Drosophila melanogaster: one gene and its partner. The protein of the gene in region 1 purifies or fractionates together with the protein of each later gene. This does not show direct contact. Each region holds a gene or a part of one and is shown in the gene's direction. Other genes may lie near its edges.

Region 1 (5,155 bases):
CATCTGTATTATTTCTTGACAAACTGGTAGGGGGCAGCGGGACGGTAACGCATGTTAGGCGGCACAGCGCCACCGATGCCACCGCCAGTGGTGGCCACGATGCTATTGGCCATGATTCCGCCACCGCCGGCATTACCCAGTCCGGCATTTCGGCCATTGAAGCTGGCCGCACTGACGACCATTCCGGGCGGTGAGGCTCGCACAATTGCTTGCGGTGGCAAGGTGGTGTGCATGGCATTGCCCCGTTGGGCGGCTGCAAAAGCGAACATAGAATCTATGGTCTATGGACCAGGAGAGCCCAGACTTACCTGGCACATAGGGTTTTGGCTGGTGGTACGCATTGTTGTGTGAGCGAAAATAGACAGTCTCCTCGTTGTGGCGATAGTGTGATTGTTGCTGAAACTTTTGTCTGTAAGAAACATGGGAGTTTAGCTAGACTCGAGGCTCGTAGAGGACATTGAACTGCAACCCACCTGTAGTTGCCGCCGGAGCGCTGGTTCCCATTGCCATTATTGCTGCCGGATCCAGCTGCGCCGCCATTTCCGTTTCCGCCTCCACCACCGCCTCCTCCTCCTGCACCACTAGCTGCCGCATTCGACTGCTGTTGCAGCTGGCGAAGCGTCAGCTTCTTGGCCGCCTCCGGATCCTCCATGAGTTCGCGGTACTGCTCTTGGCGGATGTCATCGTGCTTGTCCGGCGTGAGGTACCGCCGAATCTCGGCCAGGGCATACGCCACCCGAGCGTACGCCTCGGCGGGCGGAGCAATGGTGGACACCTCGACGTGCAGAGGAAGATTCAGGTGGGCGTACTTCGCGTCCGCGGAGTTGCGCAGCTCCTCCTCACGTGCGCGATCCTTCATTGAGAAGCGACCAAGTATGACGATCTTGCACTGCGTCTCCTCCTGCAGGCGACGCAGTGAGTTGCCCTTGGGCCCCAGTAGCTTGCCCACATAGTTGAACTTCTTGTCCTTGATGGGCACGTGCACTTTTTGGGACAGCTTGATGGTGCGCTGCTGGTAGACATCGGCGTACTGGTCTCTCGTGGGAATGCGTCCGTTTAGCTGCACACGCTCCAGAGCTGCAAAAACAGAGGGAAATCAAAGTAATTACCATGAAGTGCCCCTGACAAATCAATTTACCTTCGTCAATTAGCTTCACCGCCAGGGGGAAGTGGTTTTCCATGCGCGATCGCTCCGTCATGAGCTCCTGCATGTACTTCTGGACCGCCGGCGCCGGCTGGGCCTTCTCGCCGTCTGCGTTGGCGTTGTGTTCGTTCTCATGCTCCCCGTTGCTCGTCCCGCCGCTGACGCCGGTGGGCACCACTCCTGTCCCGGCCCCCGCAGTTCCCGCTGCTGATCCACCGCCGACTCCCGTCGCAGTGGAAGCCACCGCAGAGGCCACCGCGGATGACCCTGGCACGCGCAGTCCGTTCTCCGCCATTTGTCGTCCTGCCTTCGGGATCGCTGTCGCTCTATCGTCCTGCTAAGTCGCCGAGTCTCGGATTTTCCGTGCGCAGATTGCGGGCGATCGCTTTTGCTGTCGATTCGGTATGATTGCTAACTTAGCACACTTCAGCCTTCCCAATGGCCCTAATTTTTCTCTCTTTTTCCAAGTGTGTATTTTATTCGGACATTTACTATGTCAGCGGCTCGGTCCGGCAACTCCGGTCTCTCGGGCTGTCTCTCGTGCTTCTGCAGCGTGCTGTTCGCTGCCAATCGACGGTGCTGTTAAGGGCGCATAGTTGTTATCGGCTTGCAGACACTATCTAACGCTATATATTAACATAGATGCGTCGTCAGGTGCATGGCAATAATTTATAATATGCACTTAGTGATTTTTAAATTACAAATATAATTTAAATGCTCTCTTTGTTATGGGAAAGTTTTTAATAAAATTGATAAGTCATAAACTACTAATGCACATGATGGCGGGTTGTTATCGGCAGTAACCGATAATACGCTATCGAATCGGTGATGCCGATTTACCTATCGATGTCCTACCACATACATATTTTTTCAGCCAACTAATTCTGCAATAGTAGAATTTTGTATTCAAGAGTAGGAGTTTTAAAATTCACGAATCCTCCAGGCCAGAAATCCTACAAAACGCAATGCCGCGCGACTACGACAGAGACTACAACGAGGACGCCGCCGACTACAAGCGGAAGCGACGCGACGAGGAGCCAGCGGCTACCGGTGCTCCAGAGACCCCTGAGGCGGATGGCGGCGGACACACCACCAGCCACGCCGCCCTGCGGGACACGCCCCAGCTGAATGAGAAGACCAACGCGTATCTGCAGGAGTGCCTGCTGGAAAAGAAGACGCTCGAGAAGAAGCACATCATCACCAAGCGCTTACTTGACGACGGTGAGTTAGGCGCTGCGACATGTAAGCTATAGTGGATCTAATTGCAATTTTTCATGGCCCCGCAGAGGTGGAGAAGATCTTGGTCAGCGGACGCATACCAAAGCCCGAGATATATGCCAACGTGTACAGCGAAAAGCCCATCCGCGTGGCCCAGAAAGTCTTGTTCCCCATCAAGGAGTACCCCAAGTTCAATTTCGTTGGCAAGATCCTGGGGCCCAAGGGCAACACACTGCGGCAGCTGCAGGAAGAGACTATGTGCAAAATGGTGGTTATGGGGCGCAACTCGATGCGCGACCACGGTAAGGAGGAGGAGCTTCGCAGCTCCGGAAATCCAAAGTACGCCCATCTCAGCCGCGATTTGCACGTGGAGATATCCACGGTGGCCCCTCCAGCGGAGGCCTATCACAGGATCAGCTATGCGCTAGGCGAGATCCGCAAGTTTATGATACCCGACGCCAACGACGACATTCGGTTGGAGCAACTACGCGAGATGGATGGCAAGGAGCGCATGTACAAGAAGTCTCACCACTATTCCAAATCCTATGGCGATCATGGCGCCTACAGTTCCCGGTAGGCTTGTCAATTTTCGTTGAATTTTAATTGGTTACTAAGGAATTCCTTTCGTCACAGCACCCCGCCCCCTGCTTCTTCAAAGCCCAAAGTCTATTCGATTCTGGAGAAGGCTCGATATGTGATGGACGATCCCAACTATGGGATCGTAAAGACGCACAGGTTAGCTAAGTTCAATCGCGTTAATGATGCCTTTAGAAGTTAAATTCTTATGCTTTCAATAGCGTGCATCTGTGTTATCAACCATTGTTAGAAAACCCTCCTTTAATCCCTTACTTTTTCAACAGATCACGGGACCACGAGCTATATGACCACCATGGAGAATATGATCGCTATGCCACACCGCCGCCCCAAACATCAAAGCACTCGACCCACCACGCCCAGTATGACAGTAGCTCCTACGAGCGCGACTATCGGCGTGAGTATCACCCCCACTCGTCCTCCTCTTCCTACGCGGCGGCCTATCCAGGTAAGATACCTAGATTTCTAGACCAATAATCTCTTCCCCTCAGCAGGCATGTAAAAATAAACAAAATGAAGAAAAGAAAAAGAATACGACAAATAGCAATGTAAACGTTTAAACTTAACTCGCGCAAATCAAAACAAAAAAAAAACTCGAAAACAAAACAAAATCTATCCAACTAAGCGCCGATAAATTGAAAACGCAGAAAAAAACAGAAACCAAAAAAGAAAAAGAAACAAGGCCGCGTACCAAAATTATTAAAACGGCAACCCATCCCATTTTAACAAGATTTTAAATGCACTATGCCTGAACAGAGGCCAAATCAACTAAACCGAACAGCAACCAGTAAATCATCTTCATTAATTGGACGACTACTAACATACTCACAAGAAGCCAGAGCCAAAATATTAAAACAATCGATCAAACAATCAAATTACTGAAATTCACACTTTGAAAACAAAACCATAAAACTTCATGGCAAGAAACCCAAAAATATTTGAACATGCTTAAACTATAAAATCCAAGCTGAAAGGTTTGTGGAACAACTTTTTTTGAAACGTGATGAAACGAAATGCATTTTACTCAAAACAATAACGTTTCGTAGGGTGTAGTGCATTCAAAACCGGTTAAACAATATATTTTTCTTTTTTTTACAATGTATATATGCTAAGCAAAAGAAAAACCAAAAACCAAAAAACAGCACCACAGAGACAGAACAAGAAACAATTTAAAGTCTAAACAACAAATAAAATTCTTTTCAAAATAGCAAAACCAAGCAACGGTCGTTCATCATCGTCATATCGACCAACCACCTCGGGCTCGGGATCACATTCATCTGCTCACTACGAAACTGGATCCCGATCTCGTGAAAGCGTGCGATATCGCTCGGCTCCATATCCGAAAATACGTTAACCCATCGATTTTCCAAAACCCCAAGAAACCAACCTCAACAACAACTACAACAACAACAACAACCACAACTAAACAATGTTAAGCGTAAAGATTAAAATATATTCCAACGAAATATCAAAATGTTTGAAGTCAACAATCCAACTATTCACACCTATTAAATATAATATATAAACGAAAATCAAATAAAAAACGTAAATTTTTATTGCAACTGTTGTCCGATATTCAAATTGTGTTTAAAATTAAAACAAGAAACCAATAATGCAACAAATTTTATCCTCAAAAAGATTGTAAAAACAAAAGACATACTTCAATCAACCTAATACTAGTTAAAGCCAATACGAGAAGAGAACTAAACACAAGCGAAAACCCCCCCAAAACAATTAATTTATCAAAGCATAATTTTAGACTAAGCTTGAAAATATTGTTTCATAAGATAATGGAGATAAAACCAACATAAAAAGCAAAATATAAACTACAAATGTATGTGCCCAACGACAAAGTAAGTATCGCCTGCGGACAGAGTATGATTAACAAACAACAAACCACACTATTCAGCAGTTAAATAAATTAACCAAATGCCGGCTTCGTTACAAATTCCGAATAGCAAAGAGTATTGTGAAACGTTAAACGTTGTCGTTTATAATTATGATTTCTTTTTTGTTTTTTTTTCTTTGCGAATCAACAATTGTTTTATAACTTAAATATTATTTTTAACATAAAACCATAAGGACGTTTAGAACTGAATTTGTTTGCCGCTGAATATCCCTAAATAAAGTATAAAAGTATAATCGACAAATCCAGTTTCATTTGTGGGGGTGTTCAAAAGTTCATGGCTCCATCAAGGA
Region 2 (6,457 bases), on another chromosome or scaffold:
CTTCTGCCAACAAGCGAATCTATAAAATTAAGTGGATTAATCATTTTTATGGCAAATTAAGCTTATCCGACTCACCTATCTCATCTAGAAATATAAGACAGGGTGCATTTTTTCGCGCTGTGTCAAAGATTCGCGATATAAATCTTTCCGCGCAACCGACGTAGGGAGAGTACACCTCCGCCGCCGACGTAGCAATGAAGGTCATGTCAGCTTCCTTGGCCAGGCACTTGGCTACGGTGGTCTTGGCACATCCTGGAGGTCCATAGAGCAGCACTCCTTTGGGCAAACTTAGTCCGAATCGAGCAAAAGCGGCACTTTGTCTTATACCCGCTAGAACGGAGACTTGCAAGGTACGTTTCAGTGCTTCCATGCCTCCGATAACCTCAAACCCAGCCGTCATCTTCGAGACCCGCACATCTGTGGATCGAGATGCACTCGGTTGAGTTTGTGACAGGGATTTGAGGAAAATGTGCTCTATGTCGAAGTCGTCTTTTGTTAAGAGTTGCTGTTGAACGCGGCGCAGGAGTAGTGTTAAATCCGCTATCACATATCCCTGAGTGTTTCTCGCTATATGCTCGAGTAAAGTCTGTGAGATATTCAGCTCGTGTACTTCGCAGAGATGCTCTACGAGTTGTCTGCGCTGCCCTTCGCTGGGCATATTAATGGTCACCTCTCGGACGAACCGCCTGCGCGCATGTTCATGCAAGGAGTCCGGGACACCAGAAGTTGCCAGACATATGATGCCTCGAGGAAGTGCGTCTAGCAGTTTGTAGAGCTCAGCTGAAATTCGTAGGCTATTGCTAGAGTTTTTTGCATCTGCGACAGCCGTTGAGGGGCAGAGCAGCTCCAGATCCTCAATGAGGATTACAATTGGCACTATAAATATAAAACTAATTAATATTTCAAACGTAAAACAAACACTGTGAAAATTACATAATGGACGTAGTTTCTCCTTGAAAGTCTGAGCAGCCTGAAAGATCCTCCTCAACTCCTCTTCGGTTTCGCCGGGATATGAGCGCAGCACCTGGCTGGCTGTAATGTAAAAACAGTTGCAGCTATGACGACGCAGGAACTCACTGAGTAGACCACTTTTTCCACAGTCCACCGGACCCACAACCAATGCTGTAGTAGGAAATCTATGCGAAAAGCTGATTTTAGAGGTTTCCAGGAGCTTCTCCAACTGCTCCATGGGTCGCTCGAAGCTGTGTGGCAAATACTTGAAGATAAAATCTAAAGAAAAGGGCATTCCCAGGCGTATGTCCGCCAGGAGTAGCTCAGCATCGTGGGCTATTTCAAAACACTCGTCATCAGCAACTCCTGGAGCATCGAATATCTCCACACTGGCAATGCCCAGCTGCACAAGGCGTCTGTGCTGCACGGAGCATCCTTTGGTAAGCTTCAGGTGGCGCAGGAAGATTCGCACATCGTCCTTCAGATCCTCCAGGGAAACCGGAGGTCGCTGAAGGAGCTCCTGGGTGACTGTAATCACGCATGAAATCCTCTTCACGCAGGGAACTAATTTAAGTGGCTCCAGAAGCACCAACCGCTGATTGGTGGGGGAGAACCGCGTCAAGGAGGTTACAATTCCATCAAGGAAGCAACAAGTTTCACTGCCTGCACGCGGAGTTACCCAACAAACTGCGTAGCTGCCATCGCAAAGGTGACAACGGTACCATCCAGTTCCAGTAGAGTTCTCCCACGCGGGTATATAACATCTCTGTGGCTCTAGATCGCTGTCGTCCAGCAAGGAAAGCGGAAAAGTCGGGAAATCCGACTGATTGTGGTGCATTTTGTTTACCTCGCTTCGTTAGGAACGATAACATAACCGATTGCAGTGCATTTTCAGCTATTTCTAGCTACCTTTTTCAGCTGCATCCGCCTATCGATAGTGGTCCGATAGTCGCGGCCTGCAGACATATAGCCGCACTCTTCTGACGCCATCGCCAATTCGTCGCCGCTGTGACGCAGAATTTGTGTGTAAGCATTGTAAAATTGGCGTAATTTCGCGATATTAAAGGGATATATTGCGTTAAAAGTGAACAAAAAGTGGCGCTAGACCGGTGTCCACACAATTAATGCCAAGAGCAGCCCGTGAGTTTGGGAATACCTGTATTTCCCTGACCTTTTCTTACCTTGCCGATCGATCGGCTTTTTTCTCTATATATTTTTCTTGGTTTGCGTGTGTGCGTGTGCGTGGGTGCTCCATTCATCTGGTACTCCGATTTCCGATTTCGGAGCAGGTAAACAAACGCTGCCGATGCGCGAGATGGCGGACTTGGATGCAGTGCACCTGGGCCTCGACGAGAACGAGGCGGACATTGCCGAGGAGCTGCAAGACTTTGAGTTCAACACAAGGAGTGAGGCTTCCGAATCGAATGGTGGAGACTCATCCGACTCGGAGCCGAGCATCAGCTCCGTCAGCACTGCCACATCTTCCCTGGCGGGCAGTAGCAAGCGGAAAACCAAGAAGCCTGCCAAGCAAAGCCCTCAACCCGCTGTCGAGACCAAATCCTCCAAATCTTCCGCCAAGAACAAAGCCAAACGGGAACCCACTCCCGAGGAGCTAAATGGTGGGAAGAAAAAGAAGCGCACGGATAGCGGGACGAAGAAAACAACCTCATCTGAGGCGTCGGATAAGGTCAAATCCAAATCCCCGGATACCGAGGATCGACAGCCGTCCGCCAAGAAGTCGCGCACCAAGATACCCTCCAATGCCAACGATTCTGCTGGCCACAAGAGCGATCTCAGCGAGGCTGAGGACGAGAAACCAAGCCTTCCAACTTTGGAGTCCGACAGCGAGTCCTCTGACTCGGATTCGGGCACTCAGCACAAGAGAAACGGAGGAAATGGTGGCGGCAACGGCCGGGGCAAACCCAGTTCCAAGAGCTCCACGCCGGAAAAAGATTCTGTCGGTGGCGGTACGCACTCACATTCGCAGAAGGGCTACGACTACATGACCAAGCTGAACTACCTATTCCGAGACACACGGTTCTTCCTCATCAAGTCGAACAATAGCGACAACGTCCAGCTGTCTAAGAACAAGAGTGTGTGGGCCACGCTGCCGCAGAACGACGCCAATCTTAACCAGGCTTTCAAGGAGGCCAGAAACGTCCTGCTCATTTTCTCGGTCAACGAGAGTGGTAGGTTCAAGGAGTAAACAATGTTTCTCATTTCTTATACTTTCTTAGTTTCTTAAGAATAAGATACATACAATGTCTATGTCTTCAAAACCTCTATTATAATCCGATTTTGCTTTTAGGTAAATTTGCAGGATTCGCCCGGATGGCAGCCCCCTCACGGCGGGACATTCCTCAGGTGGCCTGGGTATTGCCGCCTAGTATTTCGCCCAAGGCACTGGGCGGCGTCATCGAGCTTGACTGGATCTGCCGCAAGGAATTGTCTTTCAACGCCACCCTGCACCTGCACAACACCTGGAACGAGGGCAAGCCGGTGAAGATCGGTCGCGATGGCCAGGAGATTGAGCCCAAGATTGGCGGCGAGCTGTGTCGTCTCTTTCCCGAGGATGAACAAATCGAACTCACTCCCATACTCAAGAAATCCAAGGAGACGGCTCGAGTTATGCGAGAAAAAGGTATACACGTGATCTACAAGCCGCCCAGGAGTCTATCCTCGCGTGGCCATGGAGGGGGAGGTCGTGGCGGAGGCAGAGGATCAAATCACGACCACCTGGGCCCGATGCGGCACAAGAGGAGCTACCACGGAGCACCACACCATCGGCCGTACCGTCACCATCATGGCATGGGCCTTCCGCCGGGCGGTGGCTTTAAAAGAAGCGGTTCCCCGTACCGCCAGATGGGAGGTGCAGCAGGAGCGCCACCCGGCGGACCGGGCGACATGGCCATGCCGTCATGGGAACGCTACATGTCCTCGGCGGCAGCTGCTGAAGCATACGTGGCGGACTACATGCGCAACATGCACGGCCAACTTCCGCCGTTGCCCTTCGTTCCTCCGTTCGCCCAGCTGCCGATTCCAGGAGCTGGAGCGGGAGCAGCAGGTGCCCTTCCACCGGGAGCAGCAGCTGCCATGTACGAGCAGCTGCCGCCACCGGTGCGGTACTACGATGGACCCGGTGCCCCGCCTCTACCGGATTATCCGCCTCCCCAGCGACCACCACCACCGGGCTTCGACAAGGCGCCGAGCTACGAGGAGTTTGCTGCCTGGAAGAATGCTGGCCTACCCACAGTGCCACCGCCTGGCTTCCCCGTCTACGGCGGAGCAGCCAATGGCGGTAGCAATGGAGCTGGCGGGTTAGCTGCTGCCCAGGCGGCGGCTGCGGGCGGTGGCATGGGAGCCGGTGGAGGATCCGGTGGCGGTATGGGTGGACCCGGCGGCTATCGGAATCGGGACGGCAACAACGGCTCCGCGGGCGGTCGTCGACGGGAGTACGGAAATCGCAGCGGTGGCGGCGGATCTTCGCGGGATTCGCGACCGTTTCGCGAGCGTGGCGGCGGCGGCGGCCAGCGAAGCTATCGGGACAACAGGCGCTAGGCCGCATCGAGGTTTAAAACGAGATCGTGCTCCTGGCCTCGCTAGAATCGGAAAGTGTAATCCTAATCCTCTCGCGTGTGAAAATCTAAAGAGAAATATTGAATGCGTTACGGTATAAGCAAAAAGTTAATATGATAAAACCGGCTATCGTCTAAAGTCGATACAACTCTCTTTCCCCTTTCTCTCTGTCCCGCTCACCAAACACCCCCACCACCCACACTAAGATTAAAAACAAACTTACGACTTAAGCAAATTTCAATACAGCAGAGATCTTAATGCTAATTAAATATTTTAAACCACAAAAATACAAAATGAAAGAGAGAAAATGTGAACTTTATTTACCTCCCAAAGCGAAAAGTAGCGAGAGAAAGCGAGAGAAAGAGACTTTAAAGAGACGCCCAACAACAACAACCACAACCAACAACAACACCATGAACGAACTTAAGTTAACATGAGCAGTGATCAATCAGTGATGTGTGTATCGTGTGTGCCAAACCCCACAAAGCCCCCTTCTCCATCCACCACCCCAAAAGTTCCAAAAACGAGAGTTGGACTTAGCAAAAGCAAACCGAAAATCAAAGGGGCACTGTGCCCCCCAAGACTTTCAAAGACCTGAGCGGAGCCTAGCTCCAAATGGGGGCTATGAGTTATAATCACTGCTACCGAATTTCAAGGACGAGGGTCGCCTTCAGTCGCTTCGATCCAATCAAAGCTTCCTTATACGTAGTATAAAACTAATGCAATCATATTTAACACCTATGTATATGTCTTGCCGACAGAAGACCATCTTTCCCCGAAACAGACACACATCCGCCTACATTTTGGACCGGAGTGATGCGCTCCGGGTCCCTTTGGCTCAATAGCAATACGAACCGTAGCAATCCGAAGTGTTTGGCCCACCAGTTGGGCACGCGTCAATCCCCCCATCGATTCCACTCAGTGACTGCCACATTTTCACGCTTCACCAAAGCTCAGACCGTCGACAAACACGAAAATACATTCCTGGACAGACCTAGGGGTTTGCTCTTTTTTCTTTGCAGGATCTGGATTCAACAAAGAAGGAAAAATCTACGGAGTTTGGAACCTCATTTATTGCACGAAGAAACTTAGAGAGAAAGACTGATGCCTAATAAAGACTCAAGCTGATTGCAAAAACAATATAAAGTTGTACCTTATTGCGGTGTCATCGTAAAACCAAGATGCTTAAAAGGGATTAGGCCCACTTAAATTACTGCGAAAAATTTTCTATTTATTTATTTACAAATTTCTCACATGACTTCCAGATAAACTAATTAACTTTGTGTGTCAAGGTTGCTTTTCCGGCAGAAAAGTCAATTTGCAAGTGATTTAGGTTTTTTTAATGACTATCTTTGCAATTGAATTGGGTACTATTAGATATTGAATATACCAATATTGAGGTATAATACAAATACAACAACATTTGACCTCGGCAACTATCAGAAGTACATGTAGGTCGGGAACATTAGGGAATTCCTGCGCGATAAGTTACTAATTATGCTAAGCTATCGCAGAACCTCATTAAGACTTGAGCTGCAGTGTTTTGCAGGTACTTATCATATTTACAGTATTAATGTATGCAGTATTATATTAATTCTAAATAAGAAAGTCAGGAGAAGGATATTCAAAACTGAAGAATTAATGTACATTAGTTTTGTTTATTAGATTTTCAATATTGCAGCATAGAATATGTGTAAGTAGTGGAGAGCTAAACGCGCTTTTCAGAACGTTCATGCTAATTGCTCATGGATTTAGCATCCTTCGCACCAGCACTTCAGACTGGGGCTGCAGTGGCCACTGGAGCGTCCCTCCTCCTTGCACACACGACGACAGGTCTCGTTGTCCCAGACGGCACAGGGACCCTTGTATCTTCCGGACAGGCAGTCGGCATCGGCCTCGTTGGCTCCCAGGACCACCAGCATCAGGACAG

Evidence for each region.
Region 2: the proteins of qkr58E-1 (region 1) and Ythdc1 purify together in Drosophila melanogaster (affinity purification with western blotting, with the first as the bait; one study listed by BioGRID). This does not show direct contact.

The regions. Positions count from the first base shown.
Region 1 is NT_033778.4:22,412,350-22,417,504, reverse strand, and holds qkr58E-1 (quaking related 58E-1), read left to right. Parts: upstream 1-1,986; 5' UTR 1,987-2,109; coding exon 2,110-2,365; intron 2,366-2,430; coding exon 2,431-2,935; intron 2,936-2,995; coding exon 2,996-3,097; intron 3,098-3,222; coding exon 3,223-3,404; coding exon of another isoform or gene 3,405-3,433; exon of another isoform or gene 3,434-4,164; coding exon 4,165-4,310; 3' UTR 4,311-4,588; downstream 4,589-5,155. Other genes in the region: qkr58E-2 (quaking related 58E-2), read right to left, coding at 9-253, 309-409, 474-1,077, 1,139-1,439; PolE4 (DNA polymerase epsilon subunit 4), read right to left, coding at 5,130-5,155.
Region 2 is NT_037436.4:3,369,653-3,376,109, reverse strand, and holds Ythdc1 (YTH domain containing 1), read left to right. Parts: upstream 1-1,939; 5' UTR 1,940-2,075; coding exon 2,076-2,091; intron 2,092-2,240; coding exon 2,241-3,140; intron 3,141-3,259; coding exon 3,260-4,509; 3' UTR 4,510-5,659; downstream 5,660-6,457. Other genes in the region: CG12010 (uncharacterized protein), read right to left, coding at 1-19, 76-876, 934-1,789; Drs (drosomycin), read right to left, coding at 6,279-6,457. UniProt on the Drosophila melanogaster protein: Regulator of alternative splicing that specifically recognizes and binds N6-methyladenosine (m6A)-containing RNAs. Acts by acting as a reader of m6A methylation.